3 separate regions of the Mus musculus genome follow, and all the other regions are reported to be linked to region 2. The links are microRNA targets in miRTarBase. Many come from high-throughput screens and were not tested one by one. Region 2 holds a microRNA gene; each other region holds the end of a gene's coding sequence.

Region 1 (7,118 bases), not on the chromosome of region 2:
AGACATAAAATCACATGGCTGGCTACAGGCTGCCCAATTCCCTTTCCATACATTTCTCTATGTGTCTTTTACCGTTCGCCAAGGAGTATGTTTCCATCAATCATTTTGTTTTTAGATTCATAGTGAGATAGTTCACTCCTTGTAAGTTCTTTGTAGAAGCAAGTTTTTCTCTTGTGAGGCTATTCTTGGGCTTGGCAAACACAGAAGTGGATGCTCACAGTCAGCTATTGGATGGAACATAGGGCCCCCAATGGAGGAGCTAGAGAAAGAACCCGAGGAGCTAAAGGGGTCTGCAACCCTATAGGTGGAACATTATGAACTAACCAGTACCCCGGAGCTCTTGACTCTAGCTGCGTATGTAGCAGAAGATGGCCTAGTCGGCCATCAGTGGAAAGAGAGGCCCATTGGTCTTGAAAACTTTATATGCCCCAGTACAGGCGAACGCCAGGGCCAAGAAGTGGGAGAGTGGGTAGGGGGGTGGGGAGGAGGGTATGGGGGACTTTTGGGATAGCATTGGAAATGTAAATGAAGAAAATACCTAATTAAAAAAAAGGAAAAAAAATAAAACCCTGAATTGACAAAACAACAACAAACCTTTACATAGTGTATAATAGGAGCGCGGGTATGCTGATTACCTCCTATGGCAGGCAGCACATCTGCATTTGGTTGACCTGCTAACAGAGATGTCTTTCAGGTGCTGTGACATGCATGTGGATGAACGAACAGTGTAGCAGTATTATCACCGGAGGGGAAGACAGACAAATTATGTTCTGGAAATTGCAGTATTAAGTGCCTTTTCCTCTCCATCAAGTACAATTCTACTTAATGTATTTTAAACCAGACTTTAAACTGGTGAATGTGCAATGATAGTACTTAGAAGTTTTACCACATGAAGAATGTGTGGTTTCAACTTCCTAAATCATGGTGACTTCATTCAGAGCCATTTGTTGTCATCCATTAAGCAGATATAACATGGCAGTGTTAGGGGAAAGGACAGAGAACTATCAACCATGACAACAGTTTGAAGACTACTGGGTGTTCAGGATAAACCCAGTCGGACTGAGGAACACTGGCCAGCACTGGCCAGCTCAGTCCCCAAGAGGACAGTCTGTATTCAAGCTGCCCAGGTTCTGACGGTAACACGGTTCTTTGATGTGCGGTCATGGACTGGTTCCTTTCGGCAGTGCTGCGTGCCCAGATTCTTAATAACATTAAGTCTGTTACTGTGTATAGCAATGGTTTATATTTCATTATGCTACTAAAGGTTCATCTTTTCTACATTAAAAATATTTTTCTGTAATGAAAGCACTCTTATCTTATTTAAATAACTTAAGAATCACAAGTATTATTCCTTCTACAAAACCATACTTAATGAAACAAACACAATTTCATTTCTTTTGGACCTATATTCAGAACCAAGTCCAGAAAGCAAGGTGGATAATCAAACTGAGAATTATAAATTTCCAACAAGGTAGCCTATATAGAAACTGCAATGATTTTCTTACATTCAGTCTCTGACCAGCAACTACAAGATTACAAATTTTCTGAAGCATGTTATAGAGAAAAGGAAGCATGATATAAACATGTTATAGAGAAAAGGCACCAGACTAAAGTAGTAGAACCTTGAGTTAGTTTTAAGTGTCACTAATACATGTGGATGGTCTCGGGATTCACTGGAGACGCAGCAGCCTTTCCAGGTTCCTTCACTGATGTCAGTGCGCAGGGTGAAGGTAACCACAGGCTGGCCAAGAGGGATGCCCAGCAAGTGTATTTCCAGGCAGTCTCCGCTAAAGCTTCTTAAAGAACCTAGTGTTAGCCTCACAGTAAGGACTGATGCAGGCACAGACAGACGGAAATTTCACATTTTTATACATTTAATAATATCACATAAAATAATAGGATAGGCACAAGCTAAGAAAGAAAAAATCATAAAGTGTCATTGCCATTTTTGTTTATAGGACAGAGTCAGAAAATGGAACAAATTAAGATGACTAGGGAAACATTCTAAAACGACCCCAACCTAGCTAAAGTTACATAATGTTAGGACTCAAATGCCAAATTAGATATTACCCACTAGAGTGAAAAAGAGACTCCAAAATTTATTCTATTTAGTATAACAACTTTTACATGAAATATATAGCAATTTGTTTCTCAGAAAGCAATACGGCAACTCTTAGGCGTTTCCTTTATGCAGTGACTAGAAAATCTTGATACAAGTAGGCAGCTCTGCTTTACCAGTGAGCTGCTCAGGGCTAGCACAGAACAGCTTAATAGAGAGCTAACATCTCAAGTTTCAGAAGGCAGCAATAATTCTATTTTGGCTTTTATTCTAAATGCTTACTGTAGTTAAGGCGACAATTGAAGCATATTAAGTGAAGGTAGTTAAGATTAGTGACAATCATTACAGTCTCTTGCAACCTACACACAACTGTGTAATGCTTTTGTGGAATGAAAACAGTGTTGATTAATTGGAATTTTACACACTCACACAGAGAAAACTTAAAAAAATAACTATCAAAGGCAATCATTCTAAATGTACTATGCTGACGTACTAAAGTCCAAGAATGCCACAGAATTGAAGCACATGACTAGCACTGTGCTTTGTTCTAGGAGAAAGCTGACCAGGTCTCAGACACAGCTAAGCCTATACCAGTCATCCTAATCACAATGGCTTATATAAAAACATCAGGTTCCCAGTAAAGAACCCAGTCTAGGAAAGTCAGTAAATCTTTTGGGAGTCTCACATCTGTAAAACCAGGCTAAGGCTACACCCATCTTAAAATCTGAAGCCAGTATCAGATAGAGCGGGTTCCCAGCTATGAGAGAAGAGAGAAAGGTCTCCATGCAGCATATTCTCCCTGGCTCCGGGAAAGCTTCATGTGCGAAATAGACAAGTTGCCGAAGAGGAAAACTGGAAACATTCAGCCGTGATGCATTGTACAAGGGTTTAAACTTCAGGAATGGTGTGATCCATCAGGCTTTTCATAATGCTGGGAGCCATCCTACAAGAGAGCAACTCATCATGTAACTCACATCTAGTTTCAAGAAGGCCATGGTAATTTAAGACAACCCCAATTCCAGCTTAGCCCTATCCTATTGTCATCGATGAATGATCTCGGATCTAAGGAACTGATAATCAAGTTGTCAGAAACTGTCCAGAAAGAATAGCTATTTACATCAGGGATGGCTGTTAGAGAAGGTGTGCATCCTTTACACTACGACTGGCTCTTTCATTGAAGCAGCAAGGCTGTGACGAGTCAGAAAGGGGCATAAGGAACCTACCAGTAATTTAAAAGAACAAAAGACTGTAAAATAATCAACCCCTTTCCCTACTCCGAGGGTAGCTAGCTGCATTCTACCCAAAACCCAAAAATATAGACAAAAATTGCATTACAAAGGTTATGTTTATGTCTATTCCAAATCTCACTTTCATGTGCTATATCAGGACTTTGGAAGAAGTTTCCAAGGTAGCATGGTAACAGCGATGAAGGAGCATAGGAGCTGAAAGGCTCTGGAATGAATCACCCTTGCCGGCCTTTATCAGCTCTCCTGGACTCTACACTCCTCAGTTCCAATAGATAGATAGCAAGCACCGGGTACCGCTCTACTGGCTAGGATACGGGAAAGAATAGCAACAGCCACTCTTACTACCTCACAGGCAAGCAATCCGTCAGGAACCACCATGACTAGATTTCTAATATGCACAAGACCTGCAAGCTCAAAGCACTGTTCACATTTATATCAGGTGCTGGAGATCATAAAGTTGAAGAGCTATTCACTTACCGTTTAATAATGTGTTCGAAGATAAAAGTAGGCATGATTGTGATGGTAACCACAGTCCCAGCTGTTGACAGTATATCTGCAATCTGAGCATCCTGACGAAACATAATAGAGTTACATTTCACTAGGCCTTATTTCATACACAAAAACTCTTAGGTAAGAAACACACTATATTTTGATGTTGTCTTGCTGATATCTCTGACATCCCAGTCCCTGGTATGTCTAAATTTTAATTTTAATCTTACAGATAAAATTTTCTTAAGCTAGTAACAAAGTTGAAGGTACTGACCAAAAGTCCTTACTTGGGAATGGCTTGTCCCATAGACAGTTAACTGTATTCTAGAATTTATGGACTAAATTTTAATCAAAGTCTATTAAAAACAAAGTATTACGATATGCCAAACTTATTCCTTTTCTATATTTCTGGACTGAAAAAAACTGGACACGCATCCATTCAGAATGTCTAAATATTTCCCTGCCCATATTTCTATAGAATTCTAGCTCAAGGGATTCCAGGGGGGGTCAACACAAAAGTCCTGCCACCTAAATGATGTTTTCTACCCAAAAAAAAAAAAAAAAAAGATATCGAAACCAGGGTCATGTGAGTCCCTTACCTTCAAGCCAATGACGTTCTGTCCGTTGATCTCACAGATGTGGTGATCAGTGAGGAGGCCGTTTCTGGCAGCAGAACTATCTTTTACTATGGATGTGATTTTTCCACTTTTAAAGATAAAGCCAACATGTCCACTGCTGTCCTTATGCATAGTAACTGTCCGTTCAAAGGGCCTGAAGCATAAGGGTTAGACTGAAACTTCAATTTCATGTTTCAATAGACATGACATACCTACAAACTCTGCCACATGGGATATTTTGATACAGAAAGTGGTGTTTCTAACTATTATAGCTATACTGTTCCATATTACTCTAGAAGGTGTACAGACACTAATCACTTTTCTAAAACCACAAAGACAAGACCTTTCTCCCAAATCAGCATATCCTTGAGCCAGTGACCAGAAACCCTTTATATTGACCTCTCTCCCAGAGGAGTAATATAACCACAGAGCTCCAACTCACACCCATGTGAAATTAAAACAATCCACAACAAATGAAGTAAACTAAAATGCTGTATGTGCCTATTCTTAGGCTTTTTCTATTTTGCCATGTAGGATAATAACCCAAAATTCCCGTGGAGCCCACATTAGAGAATATGAGTTAGTTATCCTGCAGACTTTATTATACCATCTTTAAAACAATTGATTCACACTTCTATCAACACCTGCTTATAAGCAGGCAGCTAGTCCCTAAAGCCAGGAAATAAACCCAAAATTCCCATGGAGCCTACGTTAGACAGAATTTGAATCTCCTGTAAGACTTACTAGAGCAATATATCTTTATACCATCTTTAAAGCAATTAATTCAAACTTTCACTAATATCTGCCTATAGGAAGAAGGTAGTTGTTACTTGTTAAGCGCTCTGCCTAAAGCAGCCGACCTCTTATACCATCTGTTGGGCTCTCTACCTGGAGCCACAGACATTATTAATTAATACTTGTTAATAGCAGGTAATTATCACTGCTCTCTCTACTTGGAGTCAGTGACTAATTTTCCCTATCCTAGTTCTGAACTGCGGGTGAAATTCCCCACATGATTTGGACAAAATCTGTATATATCCTATCCTAAAAGCAAATAATGCCAATATTATAAATTCACAGTTAAATCAATATCTGCCTCAAGATGTAGGCAGCTTCCATTGTCCAACTCTCTGACTCAGAGCAGCCATCTTGTCTCTCTCCACAGCAAGGGACCTCAGAGCCCCTTTCTCTGCTTCAAGGTTCCCGTGCTTGAGTCCACGTGACTCATCCTAGCGCCACCTTTCTCTCACTTAGAAAATAAAGTTTTCCTGTATAGGGCCAGGAAGCGGAGTGGGTGGGTTGGGGAACAGGGCAGGGGGAGGGTATAGGGGACTTTTGGGATAGTATTTGAAATGTAAATGAAGAAATTATCCAATAAAAAATTCTAAAAGAAAAGAAAAAAGAAAAAAATTCTAGCTCTCAGGCTAATAATCTTAAATTTCTAGTGGATTCTTCCCCAACACATTGGTTTGCCACTTGTTGCAGGAAATAATAAAAAATGGCACCAATCTGCCTATCACTGGCTACTCTCAGGCCCAGTGACCCCACTGCCTCCATGGCTAGCCCCAAGCAGAGATGGTCCATCTCATGGTTCTCTTGACACAGATTCCACTCCCATTCCCAGCCATCCACCCCCTGTGGTCAGCGGTCCCAAATCCCAGGAACCCAGGAAAATCAACTCTAGAGGCTTGTGATTTATATCAGTAAATCCTCACCCCACAAAACGCCCACACAATGAACACAGAGCCAATTGATATTGATATAAATTGCCCACCAAGATAAGACAAAGTGTCCTGTAATTATCCATCCCTTATCAGATAGTCATAGCTACCTGTGGCTATTTAAAGCCACGCCGAATCTGGACTGGCTTTCTCTTCCTCCATCTTCCTTCCTTCTTCCTTTCCTTCCTTCTCTCTTCTCTTTCTGTCCCTGTCTCTGAAACTCTTATCTCTGCCTCCCTTCTCCTTGTCCAATCACAGGCTTCTTCTTGTATACTATTAAATTAATTGGGGGAAGATTCTGCTACACATATGGAACCCTCAGTAGCCTTTATCCGTCACATGGTTTGACTGACTCACTCCCAAGACCTCCTCCCGTTATGAATGAGAGAAGAGCATAGTGCTCTGTGGAGCTACTGATACACATTTCCTCTATAGTCCAGTTACCTTACAGTAACAGTGAGACAGCTTTTCCACTAAACCACTGAGTCCCTTCAGCACTTCTGATCTTAGGACACTGACATCTTAAAACTTCACTGGAGGCAGGTGGATTTCTGAGTTCGAGGCCAGCCTGGTCTACAGAGTGAGTTCCAGGACAGCCAGGGACACTCAGAGAAACCCTGTCTCAAAAATCTCAAAAAAACAAAAAACAAACAAACAAACAAAAAAAAACCCAAACCTTCACTGTGTTTGTCACATCTCAATTTTGAAATTTTTAATGACTTTTCATTTGTTTCATTTATTTATTACGTGTACATATACATAAAGTGTAAGTTGCAGGAGTAAGCTCTCTCTACCGTGGGAGCTCAGGGACCCAAGCCAGGTTGCTGGGATTACAGGCAAAACTTTGCTCTAATTTGAAGAGAACAGGCCTCTAGTGTCTGCCTCAGCAGCTGTCACGCCACTTAACACTCGCTGACTTTCTAGAACCCTGCCATGGTGTTACTGTAAGATTTTAAGGCCATCTGTTCTGTTTACAATATGAAAT
Region 2 (7,118 bases):
AAAAGTTAAAAAATAAAAAGCCTCTTGTGACTCAAACTCACTTTGTAGACCAGGCCAGCCTCGAACTCAGAGATCTGCCTGCCTCTGCCTCCCAAGTGGAGTGCTGGGATTAAAGGCGTGCACCACCACGCCCGGCTTTCTTTTTTCTTTTTTTTTTTTTAAAGATTTATTTATTTATTATATGTAAGTACACTGTAGCTGTCTTCAGACACACTAGAAAAGGGTGTCAGATCTTGTTACGGATGGTTGTGAGCCACCATGTGGTTGCTGGGATTTGAACTCATGACCTTCTGAAGAGCAGTCAGTGCTCTTATCCACTGAGCTATCTCACCAGCCTGACTCTGCAAATTCTTGTTAGAATCCTTGAATACTTACCTAATATGAGTAAAGCCCTGGACTGAATCCTAAGACTTAAAGTGTGTGTGGCCCTTTTCTCCACTAGTCCATTAAAAATCTTTTCTTTTTTGGGGGGGCGGTGTGGGTATCTTTCTGATTCTAGATTCTGCTTGACACACCTGGCATCATCAGTCCTGTTAAACAGAAGAGGTATTAGCTATGGGGACACATGCTTGTGTGTTTGTTGGGGGAGGGGTGATTTTTTTAAAAAGAGGAGAAAAGGGGGAGGGGATATTTGTTCATAGGAGCTGGAAGTTTTCCCTTTTATCTACCATTCCTCATAAGAACTGACCAGTCATAAGCCTTCCTGACTGATACATTTGTTCTTTAGGCACCATCTGGAGCGCTCTTTGCTGGAAGATCCATGGACGAGCATGGAATCTGCTGATCTTGGTTAGACTCAAACTAAAGATCTGAAGCCCTATTAATGGGGCCTTTCATTCCTGGGAGTTTGGGAGCCGAGGTCTGGCTGGGGCCCGTAGCCAGGAACTTGTCGTGGGTCAGGAGGAAGGTTACAGATATCCTTTTGTCTGTCTGCCACCTTCTAGTTGTAGTTCTTGTGGATGTGTCAGACAAGTGGACCAGGAGTCGGCTCAACCCCCAGGTGCTGCAGTGCTTGACCAAGTTCTCTCAGGTCCCTAGCATCCTCGTCTTAAACAAGGTAAGGACTGCCCACGTGAGAGAGTTTTCCTTCCAGAGTCCCATGGCTCTCACCATGCACTTTGTTCATCCCGCATGTCCAGGTAGATTGCCTGAAGCAGAAGTCAGTTCTCCTGGAGCTGACAGCAGCCCTCACTGAAGGTGTTGTCAATGGCAAGAAGCTTAATATCAAGCAGGCCTTGCGCTCACGCTCCAGCACCCACTGCCCTGGCCCTGAAACTGAGGGCCCAAATGCACACTCAGTGAGGAACCCTCAGAGAATTGGCTGGCCCTACTTCCAGGAGATCTTCATGTTATCAGCACTAAACAACAAGGATGTGAACACATTGAAGGTCAGTTAGCCTTGCCCATAATCCACCACTTCTACCATGTTACGATAGGCCTCATCCAGACCAGCCTGATATCCACCGAGATCCTGTCTTTTAAAAGACAAAACAAAACTCTGGCTCTGGTCATTTATGTTTGTAATCCCCGAATTTGAAAGGCCAAGGCAAGAGAATCAGGATTTCAAGGTCATTTTTAACCACATAGTGAATTCAAGAATAGCTTCAGTTACAATGAGACCCTGTCTCAGGAAACAGAAAACAGCCAGGGGTGGTGGCACACAGCTGTTATCCCAGCACTCAGGAGGCAGAGGTAGAAGGATTACTCAGTTTGAGGTCAACCTGGTTTCCATTGTGAGTTCTAGGCCAGCCAAGCAACATAGAGACCAGAAACAAAGTTAGGAATGTATCTCAGTTGGTAGAATGCTTGTCTCGTGTGCTGGATTCAGTATCTAGCCCCACATAAGCTGGACACACACGTGGGTGCACACCTGCTACTATAGCATTTAGGAGATAGAGACAGGAAGATTGGAGGCTCATTCCCAGCCTGGACAAACGAGGATGGACAAGGCCAGCTTGATCTGCCTGAGATGCTCTCTTAAAGGTGTTTCAGTCAGTTGTGGCAGCTCGCCCCTGTAGTCAGCTACTATGTAGTAATTTTAAGGTCAGCTTGGGCTACATGAGGATGGGTCATAGCCTTTTCCTCCTAGAAGCATGCATAAACAAATGTTCTGATGGGGGTTAAGAACCTACTCTTCCTTTGTTCCCACAGCAATACCTTCTGACACAGGCCCAGCCAGGACCCTGGGAGTTCCACAGTGGTGTGCTCACTAGCCAGACACCCGAAGAGATCTGTGCCAATAAAATCAGAGAGAAGCTCTTAGAGTACCTGCCTGAGGAGGTGCCCTACGGTGTGCAGCAGGTGTGGGCAGAGGAAAAGGACACAGTGCCTGTATACCAGGCACACCCCTGGAACAGTTGGGTACCAAGAGATACAGAGATGAGCCTGCCTGATTAGTCCTGATGTCTCCTTATACAGAAGACAGTGATATGGGAGGAAGGACCAAGTGGAGAGCTAGTGATCCAACAGAACCTTCTGGTGCCCAAAGAATCTCATGTGGTAAGTGAGGGATGCTCAGAGAAGGGTAGCAGTGTTACCCATGGCCTCTTCCCCATCTGTGAGGCCAAGAGCAGAACCATGTGCCTCTCTTTTCACTACTTGCAGAGGATCCTGATTGGTCAGAAGGGCCTCTTGATCTCCCAGATTGCACAGGAGGTGGGCCGGGACCTCATGGACATCTTCCACTGTGACGTTCTCATCCGCCTCTCTGTGAAACTCCTCAAATGACCATCCTCTGTTGCTTCTCCCAGTGGATCCCTGCTCAAGCTGCTGGCAGAGTCACTGACTAGAACTACCCCTGTCAGAGGGGTCTACAGGACTGGGAAGGGCCATGGACACTGACTGGTTTCCATTGTGAGGGACCCATAGCTACAGCTGCATATGTAGCAGAGGATGGCCTAGTCGGTCGGTCATCAATGGGAGGAGAGGCCCTTGGTCCTGTGAAGGTCCTGTGCCAGCCAGCCTGGCATTGCCGAGTCTGCACAGTGCTTGCCCAACCATGTTTCCACTTAGCTCAGTTCTCGGGGCGTTCCTCTGCCTAGGGTCTCAGTCAGTTGTATAGGATACATGCTGAACCACACCCTAGAACCCATGGTTCTAAGTCATGTCCACCCCGCTAGCATTGGAACCAAACTCTTGCCCTGAGTTTCCAGTTGTTGGTAGGAACACAATTTTTCTCTTCTCCCCCAAGTTCCTCACCTTGAAGTTGCATAAGGACCCGTGTTTCCTTTTTCTTTTATTATTATTATTATTTTTTTTTTTGAGACCGGGTTCTTACCCTACAACTCTGACTGGCTGGCTATCTCTACATAGATCAGGCTAGCTTTAAACTCACAAAGGTCCTCCCATCCCATCCAACCACCCAGCCTCGGATGCTAATAAAGTTAAATGACAAGTGCTCTTATTCTTATCTTTTATTTCTTTGGCACAGTGAAGAGGAAAATGTACCCTTTCCCCCAACCCCATTCTCTTGTCAGCCTGGGTGTCCTTTTCTTCCAGCAGTCTGCTCCAGGGTCATGAGCTCTTCTTGGCACAGTTTGTGGGAGCAGCAAGAGAACCGTTACCATTACTAAACTCAGTAATGGTAACGGTTTCCTCGCCATTCCCAAGTGCCACAGCTGTCAGCAGGCTTGATTAGGCCGAGCAGTGAGCCCGTGTACTTCTGCATCTCTGCTGCAAACCAGGCAGGCTCTGGAGGTGGGGTACCCAGACTAGTACATCATCTATACTGTAGTGTCTCATCACAAACTTACAGTATATGATGATATCCCAGCCAAGGTCCTGGAGGAGGAGGTGAGCAGCAGGCCTGGAGTGAGCCAGGGGATTGGCTCAGGGTCAGTCAGGGACACCTAAGTCCCTACCTCTGCTCCTCCACTTCCCTCCCAGAGCAGCATCTCCCTGATCCTGTGGTCCAGGATAACCCCAGGTGGCTTAGAGAAGGAAGCTAAGGTCTACTCGGGTCTCTTAGGGATCCAGAGTTACAGGCAGAAACGAAGTTGTGAGGCAGGAGCTTCCCTCTGGGCAGACCTATAAGCAGGCTGACAGCCACTCCAAGGACTGCTTACCTGGAGCTGGAGTGGAGCTGGAGCCTCGTCCAGGGAATCCTCTGCACAGGGAGAGCCTGCCTTGTCTCTTCTCACTCAAGCAGCTTGGCTTTTAACCCTCTGGCCCCTCCCCTGGGTGGGGCACGTTTTCCCGGGTTCTAGAAGTCCCTGCTTCTTAACTCTTTGCCTGCTGGCTTCCTGAGACAAGCTGAGGCTTGGCTCCCTTTTTGTTTATCTTCTGCTTAGTTTCCTGTGCTGGGAATGAAACTGAAGGCTGAAGATGCTAGCCAAGAACCCCAACACTGACACTACACCGCCACCCTGCCTCCCGTCTTCTAAGTGGGTGACCATTCACCCCCAACCCCACAAAGAAGGTTACCTGCCTACCCCACTGGGCTAGGAAAGAGAAAGACCCTCACCACGTCCTTCAGGGCTTAGTTGTTCGGGCCTCGCTGAAAGGTCCCAGTTTGTTGTGGGTGATGATGGGAATGTTAGTTGAATCTGAATAGGACAGGGAGGTCCTGGCAACTGGACCTAGATGGAATCTATCTGGGAGCAGGCTCCATGTACCCTCAGCCTGACTCCATCCCTAGGCTTTGACTCTGTTTGAGCTGGGTGGGCAGAGCTGAAGCTTGCAAGCCACCTCTGGCAAGGTCCGTGGACAAGTGGGCCTCTGCTGGGAAGCTGAGGAGCACCTCAGCCCCCAGGCCTTGTGGGAGCCAGTGTAAGGGCCGGGGCATTTCATCAGAGCTCAAGACACAATGAGAGCCTGATATGTTTGGGTCTCTCCCTGTGGAGAAGCAGAAACTTGTGCTGAGACACTCCCCACAGCTGAGCCTCTGCTATTTAGACCCTCATTCTGGGGGATGTTCCGCCCCCTTTCTTATCCTAGACAGTCTGGTCTGTTTCTTCCTTTGAGGGTGGGGGGTGAGGGGTGGTGAATGGGAGTGGGAGGAGAGACCTAACCTTCGGTTCTGTGGAGGTGTCTATTTCCAGCATTGCTCCACCTCTGCCATGCCTGATCTCCCCTCACCTAGTTAGCACTGTCAGGTCCCTAAGTGTCCCTGCCACAGGGACGCTTCTCTATCTATTCACTCTTTAATTTATTTATTTATTTTTTTTGGTTTGGTTTTTCCAGACAGGGTTTCTCTGTATAGCCCTGGCTGTCCTGGAACTCACTTTGTAGACCAGGCTGGCCTCGAACTCAGAAATCCGCCTGCCTCTGCCTCCCGAGTGCTAGGATTAAAGGCGTGCGCCACCACGCCCGGCCTTTAATTTTCTTTAAAGACACATCTTATGTAGGTATGAGTGACAGTGCTTTTATTATTGTTTCTTTGTTTTGTCCTGAGAAAGGATCTCACTGTGTATCCCTGGATGGCCTGGAACTTTGTATGTAGCCCAGGCTGGCCTGGAACTTAGAGATCTGGCAGCCTCTGCCTCCTGAGTGCTTGGGTTAGAGGTGTGCAATATCTTGCCATGGTCTCCTTTTATTACTGAAACAGAATCTCATGTGGCCTCACATTCTATTTTCCTTTGTTTGTGAAGATGGGCTTTCTCTGTAGACTTGTGTCCTGAAACTATAAACCAGGCTGGCCTTGAACTCACAGAGATCTGCCTGCCTCTGCCTCTGATTGCTGGGGGTAAAGGCCTGTGCTATCACCACCTGCTCAAATTCCATTTGTAACTGAGGATGGCACTGAACTTCTGAGCTTCCTGTGTCTGATTACTGAGTGCAAGGGCTGCAGGCCTTCACCACTATGCCAGGTTTCTTCAGTGCTGAGAATGGACCCAGAGCCTTACGGCTGTGAGCAAGCATTGGAACAACTCCACTGCACCTCCGCCCTCTGCCCCTCTTTTCACTTTCTGTTTTGGGTTGCTCAGGCTGACATTGAAGCTAACTGTATAGTTTAGGCAGCCCTTGATTTTTTTTTAATCCTCCTGCCTCAAGCCTCCCAAGTAACTGGCATTACAGGCCTTTGCCAGCAGGCTGACTTGCATAAAGTGCTTTTACAAGGCACAGATGCTAGCCACTGGAGTTCAAATAAGCGAAGGCCCAAGTCTGCTCTGCTACCCACAGAGGACCACAGGGAAGGCAGGCTTCTGTTAGGCATCTGAAATTCTGTCTTTCTCTGTCTCCCCTCCTTCCCTCCCTTTTCCCATCCCTCCCTCTTGCTTGCTTGCTTGCTTTCGTATGTGTCTGAGTTTGGCCAGGAATTTCCTGTATAACTTGATCCTGCTTTCACATGCCAAATTATAGGTAGGCATCTGCCTTCATTCCATGCTCCCATGGAATATTCTTGAAAACACTTTGGAAACCCTGAGAATGCCCTGCATTAGCAGTGACAGGCCCCGAGTGGCAGTCACAGCTCACTACATCCAGCTCTGTGACTTAGAACCAAACTTAGCCTCTGTTTCCTCAAATGTAAGATGGAGCTCTTGGTGTCCTCCTTCTGGGGTGATGGTGAGGGCCAGCACACTGCAAATGTGCCTCTTGTCTCTCCTTCTCTTTGCCTCATTAGCTGTGTGGCTGGTGGCAAGTTGCTCTTCTCTGAGCTTCAGGAGTACTGCATGGCCCAGCAAGCTGTGGGTCACAGAGGTGAGAAAATGTCACCATCAGTGCTCTGGCCATGTCATCTCTTGCCTCCCTTTCATTTCTTGTAACCCTCCAAAGCCACCTCTACTCTAGGAGCCACAGACAGCCAAGCTCCTTCCCACACCAGGGCTGCCCACTGCGCTGCTCAGGCCAGACCCCAGGGTGAGTTTGAGAGAAGTGAGTGTTCCTGGGAGTAGAGGGCAGAGATATCTCTACCAGCCAGAGAGCCTGTGGCCGTGGCCTCTAACTGTGGGTGGGGGCTTCTGCAATCAGGGTGTGGAGCAGGAACAGAGTCTGGGCCTGGGCAAGATAACCTGGGATCCCCGATACGCTGACCACTATCAGGGTAGCAGCCTAGCACGTGCTTATCAGGCCTGCAGGGGCCAGAGCAGGACCTGGGGCCACTTTCCCCTCCCAAGTCTGCCTTCCCTGATGGTGGTTTTTCCACTTCTCTGACTCCCTAGCTCCCTACGGGGAAATGG
Region 3 (7,118 bases), not on the chromosome of region 2:
ACACTCCTAACACTATCAATTTGCATAAAAGTTGTTTTTAATAAAAAAATATTATTTTGTGTATGGGTTGGAGTCAAGAGGACAACTCAGTGGAGTCAGTTCTCTGACTCCACCTTTACTTGGGTTCTGGCGACTGAACGCCAGTCTCCAGGATTGTGCAATAAGTACCTCTATCAGCTGATTGAATCACATCACCATTCCTAGTTTAATTTTGAAGCTCTAAATAAGCAAGCGGTAGAGAAGAAGTTCTAGAGACCTTGTCTAGCATGTATGAGGATCAGAGTCTTCTGAAGTCCTACACCATAAGAAAAATCAGCAAGACAAAACTGATTATAATGGTTTTATTTACAATTGTTGTCACATTTAAATTACAATAGAGCATTTGAACTTTTGGAACATGTTCTACTCCCCTGAAGAAAATTAATACAATCAGTTGTGATAATGCAATGGAGATGTCTTTATAGACTTTCATCAGAAATATAAAAATACTTTATACTTTTAGTGGTATTTCTCCTAGTGTGTTGTTTGCATATTTTTTCTCTTGAAAACTGGCATAATTATTTTGTTCCCTTAACATACCAAATATATATCATACAGACATATGATGCTAACTACTGAAGGTTTGTTTATAAAGCATATTTAAAATTTTTCAACTGAAATGTAATTTTCTTTTTAAGATAGAGACTCTCGTAGCCCGGGCTAGCCTAGAGGTGACTATGTAGTCAGGGCTGATCTTAACCTCCTGATTCTCCTGCTTTCACCTTCCATGTGCTGAGATCACAGGGGTGCGCTATCATGAGCAGCTGAGGTAGAATAAATTGACTTAAGGTTTTAAAGTTCTCAGTGCAAAGAGACTTCTTGCTGCATGTTTTCAAAACACCCTTGGATGTTTAATGGGATAACCAGATGGCATCTCATTAAACACAGTTTAACAGGAAAAAAACAAAAACACAACCAAACTTCTTCAATGGAACCTTAAAATAATAGAAAGATGCACTCTTTTATGGGTAACCTAAAAAACATAGAATGTACTTCATTTCCAGAGTTCAGAAAATCTTCATCAGAGGTTCTTTTATTGTTGAGAATAGCTTTTGCTATCCTAGGTTTTTTGTTATTCCAGATGAATGGATGCCAACAAGAGCTTGCTGACAGGAGCCTGATACTGCTGACTCCTGAGAGGCTCTGCCAGTGCCTGACAAGTACAGAAGTGGATGGTCACAGCCAACCATTGGATGGAGCACAGGGTCCCCAATGAAGGAGCTAGAGAAAGTACCCAAGGAGCTGAAGGGATTTGCAGACTCATAGGAGGAACAATAATATGAACTGACCAGTACTCTCAGAGCTCCCTGGGACTAACTAAACCACCAATCAAAGAAAACACATGGTGAGACGCATGGCTCTAGCTGCATATGTAGCAGAGGATGGCCTAGTCACTCAACAGTGGGAGGAGAGACCCTTGGTCCTGTGACGGTTCTATGCCCCAGTATGGGGGAATGCCAGGGCAAGGAAGCAGGAGTGGGTGGGCTGGTGAGCAGGGGGAGAGGATAGGGAATTTTTGGAGGGGAAACTAAGAAAGGGGATAACATTTGAAATGCAAATAAAGAAAATATCTAACAAAAATCATTTAAAAAAAGAAAATATTCACATGTATAAGTCAGAAATCCAAAGGGAATCAGTCTCAACATATTTTGATAGAAATCTCAGTGAACAGCACATAAGTTTGATAGAAATCTCAGGAAGTGGCACAGAAGACAAAAAATGTTGTGAACAAAAATATATGCTATTGTTTATTATAAGTGCTGAGGATGGAACTTGGGGACTTGGGCTTGGTATGCAAGTGACCTACACCTAAGCCATATCCCCGGCCCAGTAATAAATGTTCATATATATTTTCATCTCTGGTGTGAATTTTGCTGTATGAGAATGCATTGTTCCATATGGTATTTTCTCCCCAAGTAGTAGACACTCCTTTGATGAACTTAAACAAAATATTGGTCAGTACAGAAAGGATGTAAAGACTTCTATGGAATGAACTGACAAGTGGTCTTTAGCACTTACCTGTAGACTTCTTAAATCTCTCACTACATAAAAAAGTGAAACGAATCTACAATTGGTACAAATTATATACATTTATTAATAATTTTAAATAACACTCTTGTATAAATTCTTTCATATATTCAAATCATACACAAATTTAGAAATGCATCATGAAGCCTAGTACAGCACACATATGAGACATGTTTTTAAATTTTGGGTTAGGATTTTAGTGACATAAATACAAGTTTAATTTTTAGAAACATACCCTAATTGATTGGACTGACATTTAAGAGTAAAGAATGCTTGTGCCTAGCATTAAAAGTGGACTAGAAGTCATTTAGCTTTGGGCAAGCTTGAATCTGAAGCTCTGGGCTCACTCCAAGGCTGCTGAACTTTCCGTGTATGCATAAGTAACAAGGAAGATTCTCAATGTCTTTGAAAAAGTATCATTCAAACCACTAATGTTTTAATGATCCACAATCTTTAGCCATTCAATATTATTTGACTTCTTCAGGTTAATCACCATGTTCCTGCTGCTTAGCCATTTGCTCAGAGTGATAGCAAAAGACAAATTAACCGTCTGTCACCTTCCCCAGCTCTACAACACAGACAGACACCAAACCTCTTAAGTCCTAAACCATTTGCTGTCAAAAGTACCAACAGACTAAAGGTATTTATTTATTTATTCATTTATTTATTTGTGTATGGATTAGGTCACAACTTCTGTTGTCCTAATGATTTCACTGAATTCTTTTAACTTATTCTGAATATGAATATTTTGTCAGAGAGCTTTCCTTGAAAGATGCAGAAACCCACCTCCTACCCACACACCACTTCAAACTACACCAAGTCAGAGAGAATCATCAGAATTACTTTTATGTTTATAAACATAAAAAAAGCAGAGGACCAGGGTGAATGGTGAATAATAAAGCTCTAACTGACTCTTATTCTAAACCACAACATCTTGATGATCAGATAACTCAAATTAACTGGTAGACCAGTGAGTATTGCTTTGATGACTAATGATTCTGGAAATATTGGGACTAGGGAAAAGTAATATAATTTGGGATTTAGATAGTCTTGTTAAAAGAAAAAAATGAAACAATAACAACTAAAAACCAAATCAAAACAACAATAAAAACCTACCCTCCCAGCCCATGTCTGTCCTGTTGCTCTCCCTTAAAATCTAAGTATCCCTGGGAAAAATAATGTACTGGGTCCACACCATGTTCATATAAATAAGAGATTTTAATTATCATTTTGCTTTCTCTGGAGAGACTGTAAATAGGAGAGTCCTTGGAGGCAATGTAGGGGATGGTGGTGGTAAGGGAACAAAGGCATGGTTGACAAGTACAACATCCACCTTCAGAAATGCACAGGACTTAATCAGGGGAGCTATTGAAGGCGCAAGCATTAGTTCCTTCCTAGCACTGACATCCATTTCTCATTAAGGTCATGTATGTAGTATATTTTAAAAACAACATTTTCTTTATGCTTAGACAAAAATTGTTCCAGCATCGGGCTTTGCAGAGGACTCGTGGCATTGGGTGATAATGTCTCCAGAGGAATGAAAACCCAGCAGCATGTTTTATTCTGGTTTCCTACTCTACTTTCAAGGAGAGATCACCTCATGGTTGATCTTTACAACAAAATAATTTGTATAAGCAGAGCAACGGGGTCACTAAATGATGTTATTTACAACACATTTTAAGGCTATAGCTTTTTTCATTGTGAAAAACATGATTTAGGAGCAATTAACAGGTACTTGATAAATTTGTGGTTTAGTTTCTGTGTTATCTCTTAAGATCTGTATCATGGAATCTCTATTTAGCTGGAATCTCGACTGTTTACTTTGGCTCTTAAACTCATATAAACATTTATTTATTGTGTGAACTGTTTAACAAACGTTTGGCTTTTATCTCCTTTCCACTTATTTTGGCAGGAGATGGGGTATCTGGGAGGCAGCCATTGTGCTCAGCACTTTGGAACTCTGTGATGTATAGTCAATACACACCTGTGCTGCAACTGCTAGGAAAAGTCTCTCTGCTCCCCTCCCCAATTCAGGAATTCATTCATTTTAATGAACTGGCAGCTTTACCTTCTCGTCATTAATCTTGTCTTTAGGTAGAAATCCATGTGTGTTCTTTCAACAAAGTCCTTAGTATCTATGTGGCCCTGAATTGTGCCTGTGAGTTACATACTTCCCCTACCCCAATATATACACATGGTATGGCGGGGTGGGGGGGGGGGTAGTATTCTAGAGAGCATACAAGGGCTCTATTAGAAGCATCCACAAATGGGAATTTCCATTCCAGTCTTCTAGGGCCCATGGCTAGTAGATTTATATGTATCACATAGCAAAATGACAATGAAGTAGAGGTGAGAACTGATTCCAGGAATAATAATGATGATGTGCATGGTATAGCGCTGAACAACTTAGACTCTCTGTGCCTCAGTTACTTCATCTATGAAATGAGCACAAGACTACTTCCTAAGGAGGCTAGGGTGAGGATCAAAGAACACATGGAAAGGTGTTTTTTAAATGACAAAGGGCAAAATATTATTAATATATTTTGTAATTCTAAGGATTAAACTCATAGACTCATATGCTAGGCAATCAGTCACTTGTAAATTGTTTTAGTACAATGAGATGTAATGTCTACCTTTATAAAGACAGCCAAAAATGCAGAGCACACCCAGGTTACCTATGGATCCTCTAGTATACAGTCATTTCTAAACCCTGAGAAAAAGGTGAGGTCTCCTACAAAGGATGACCAACGTCTTTATTTTTCTGAGGAAGTAAGAAAAGGAGTCTGAGCTTCCTAGGTCTACTCTGTTTTGTTTTCCCCTACTTCATAGTCTGAGTCACTTTTCTTGGCTCTCAATCTACAACCTATGGATGCATAACAAATGAAAGCAGCAGTACTTGGCCTCAGGGAAAATGGCATCAAAAAGCAAGGACTAAATACACACCCATAGTGACCCTCTGCCCAGATATGAAGATGGATGAACTCCAGCACTGAAGAAGCCAAACAGTCCTCATGGTGCATGGGTGACAGGTTATGCTCAAATGTCAGAGGCCTTTATTTTGGCAGATATGGGAGGCACATAAATATTTTATGGGCATAAAAACAAGAACCCCGAAGTGATGTGATGGCTTTTCTTTTTAATTTAAATTTTCTGTCCTTTGGAAGACTGTCTTTTACATTCAGGAAAGAAGTCTTTTCCTGAGGAGTTTACACTGAGCAGTGTAAAACAGAGTGGCTAATTAGGTGTGTCTGGAGAATGCAGCCTGTGTTCCAGTTTCGCAATTGCAGACTTCAAAATCTATTGCTTGAATCTATGGTAAGTCAAAGAGCATATGACTCTAGGTTGAGAGAGGAAAGATTAGAAACATTTGACCTCTTATCAATTTCAACAGTGTCCAAATAGGGACTAAAATGACTGATGCTCACCAGAGTCCCAGCTCTAGCAATATTGTCACCTATTTTACAGTATTTTAACCAAGTTCCCATATCTTCTTTTTACAACACCATTAACTGCTATACAGATAAAGTCTAGATGATAAAATAGGACATGATTTTTTACAAATAGATACAAGTACAATGTTGACCAGATAATGCTACATTAATTATGTACACCTTGTTTCTTTAGAGGCAGGAACCTCTTTGAGGAGACCATCAGCTTTCTGCTCTCTGCCTGCTGTGCCTACCCTCACCATGGAAGCTTATCCTGTGCTTTAACTCCATTTTTGAAGGAGACTCTTAGAAGGAAAGCCAAGCCCTTCTACAGAACTTCTTGGCACCTTTCTTAGTCTACACACAACCAAGATTTTTTTTATTAGCCTAGATATCATCTCTTCCTAAGTTACATCTCTTAGTACAGTAAAATGAACACAATCCCTGCCTCTCTTTTATAAAATATGTTTCCAAAGTGGAGATGAATTCTTCCATCAGTCTTTCCCCTCCACATCAACATTCTATCACATCTGGTGAGGTGAACACTTTCCGAGCAGTCCTTTGAGAGGCCAGGTAGACTTAGGCTGCTCTGTGGGATTCAGCCTTTCCATATATACATGTGGTTTGCTACAAAAATATACTTTACTTCAAGTCCTCGATGATGAGTGCTTCAGATCTTCATGGGGGAATTAAGAGCAACAGACAGGCTAAGCGCACTACAGTTTGTACCTGAACATTTGCACAATACCTTTCTCAACAAACTCTACCTAGGCTCTGTGCAGCCAGAGGTCAGGTGCTGTTTAAGTGAGCACTGTTTTCTGACAATCCAGGAGGACAACTCAGCTTCTCAGGCTTTGTAGTTATGAATAGGTGTTGTCAGGGTCAGCTGCCCATTGGGAGCCACTTCATTGGCATCGTCCTCTAACAATCCCGACACATCTGCATTGGGGATGCTGTCATGGTAGCTGCTGAAACTGATATTGTCTTCTTTCAGCTCGATGGTCCAAAAGGGAGCATTGAGTTTCCGATTTTGGTACTCTCGGTACATGTACACAGCTCCTACAAATCCCATTAGCAGCACTACCACAATGATGATGACTGTCAAAATGATGATGTTAAACTGGGTCCATGATACATCAGCAAGAGCTGAGGTGCTGTTTTCAGAAGAGCTTACTGCAAAGATAGTCTGCAGGGTTGTGGGGGCAAAAGTACTATTTATAACAGGGGTGGGCACTGATGTGGTCAAAGAGGCATTGGAAACCAAAATGGTAGAACCTTCAGGAGTTGGAACAATAACTTCTGAAAATAAAAACAGAGAATGAAATGTAAAAGACAAAATTATCTAGTTTTGAGAAACAATAAAAGAAATACACATGAAAGTGAAAGTTGATATGGAATGTTGACATGGTACTCTGCTTAGAGGAATGCAAGTTAAAAATAATTTTTAAATAAATACAATGATAAGAAATGGAGTCTGGAAAGCTCATTTATTACATCTTACATCCAGGTCTGTTCTTTAATGTGTATAACACCTACACCAAACCTTTAGAAAAATTCTAACATGGACGTTTTCCACCCTTCTTATCTATCATGGACATTTCTGCAAAGGCTGTAAATATGTCA

The links. The annotated mature microRNA mmu-miR-451a reads AAACCGUUACCAUUACUGAGUU and lies in region 2 at 3,572-3,593, opposite strand. An mRNA with a match to its seed (bases 2 to 7 or 8) in the 3' UTR can be bound and repressed. Matches are read on the target gene's strand: a 7mer-m8 pairs with bases 2 to 8, a 7mer-A1 pairs with bases 2 to 7 and ends in A, and an 8mer does both.
Region 1: the mRNA of Nsmaf is a reported target of mmu-miR-451a. The part of its 3' UTR that is shown has no 7-base or 8-base seed match.
Region 3: the mRNA of Megf9 is a reported target of mmu-miR-451a. The part of its 3' UTR that is shown has no 7-base or 8-base seed match.

Annotation. Positions count from the first base shown.
Region 1 is chr4:6,390,394-6,397,511 of GRCm38, reverse strand. It overlaps Nsmaf (neutral sphingomyelinase (N-SMase) activation associated factor), which reads left to right. Exons shown (of 31, transcript NM_010945.2): 31 at 695-1,305. The coding sequence ends at 789. Sdcbp (syndecan binding protein) reads right to left here. Exons shown (of 9, transcript NM_001098227.1): 7 at 4,395-4,566; 8 at 3,784-3,875; 9 at 1,390-3,002. The coding sequence ends at 2,948. Among named protein-coding and RNA genes, the nearest start is that of Sdcbp, 28 kb to the right of the region's middle.
Region 2 is chr11:78,069,661-78,076,778 of GRCm38, reverse strand. It overlaps Mir451a (microRNA 451a), which reads right to left and starts at 3,609; the gene lies at 3,538-3,609. It overlaps Eral1 (Era (G-protein)-like 1 (E. coli)), which reads left to right. Exons shown (of 10, transcript NM_022313.2): 4 at 500-546; 5 at 728-789; 6 at 945-1,057; 7 at 1,140-1,388; 8 at 2,152-2,301; 9 at 2,419-2,499; 10 at 2,605-3,403. The coding sequence ends at 2,727. It overlaps Mir144 (microRNA 144), which reads right to left and starts at 3,774; the gene lies at 3,709-3,774. It overlaps Mir451b (microRNA 451b), which reads left to right and starts at 3,538; the gene lies at 3,538-3,609.
Region 3 is chr4:70,426,738-70,433,855 of GRCm38, forward strand. Megf9 (multiple EGF-like-domains 9) reads right to left here. Exons shown (of 6, transcript NM_172694.2): 6 at 5,190-6,794. The coding sequence ends at 6,343. Among named protein-coding and RNA genes, the nearest start is that of Cdk5rap2, 20 kb to the left of the region's middle.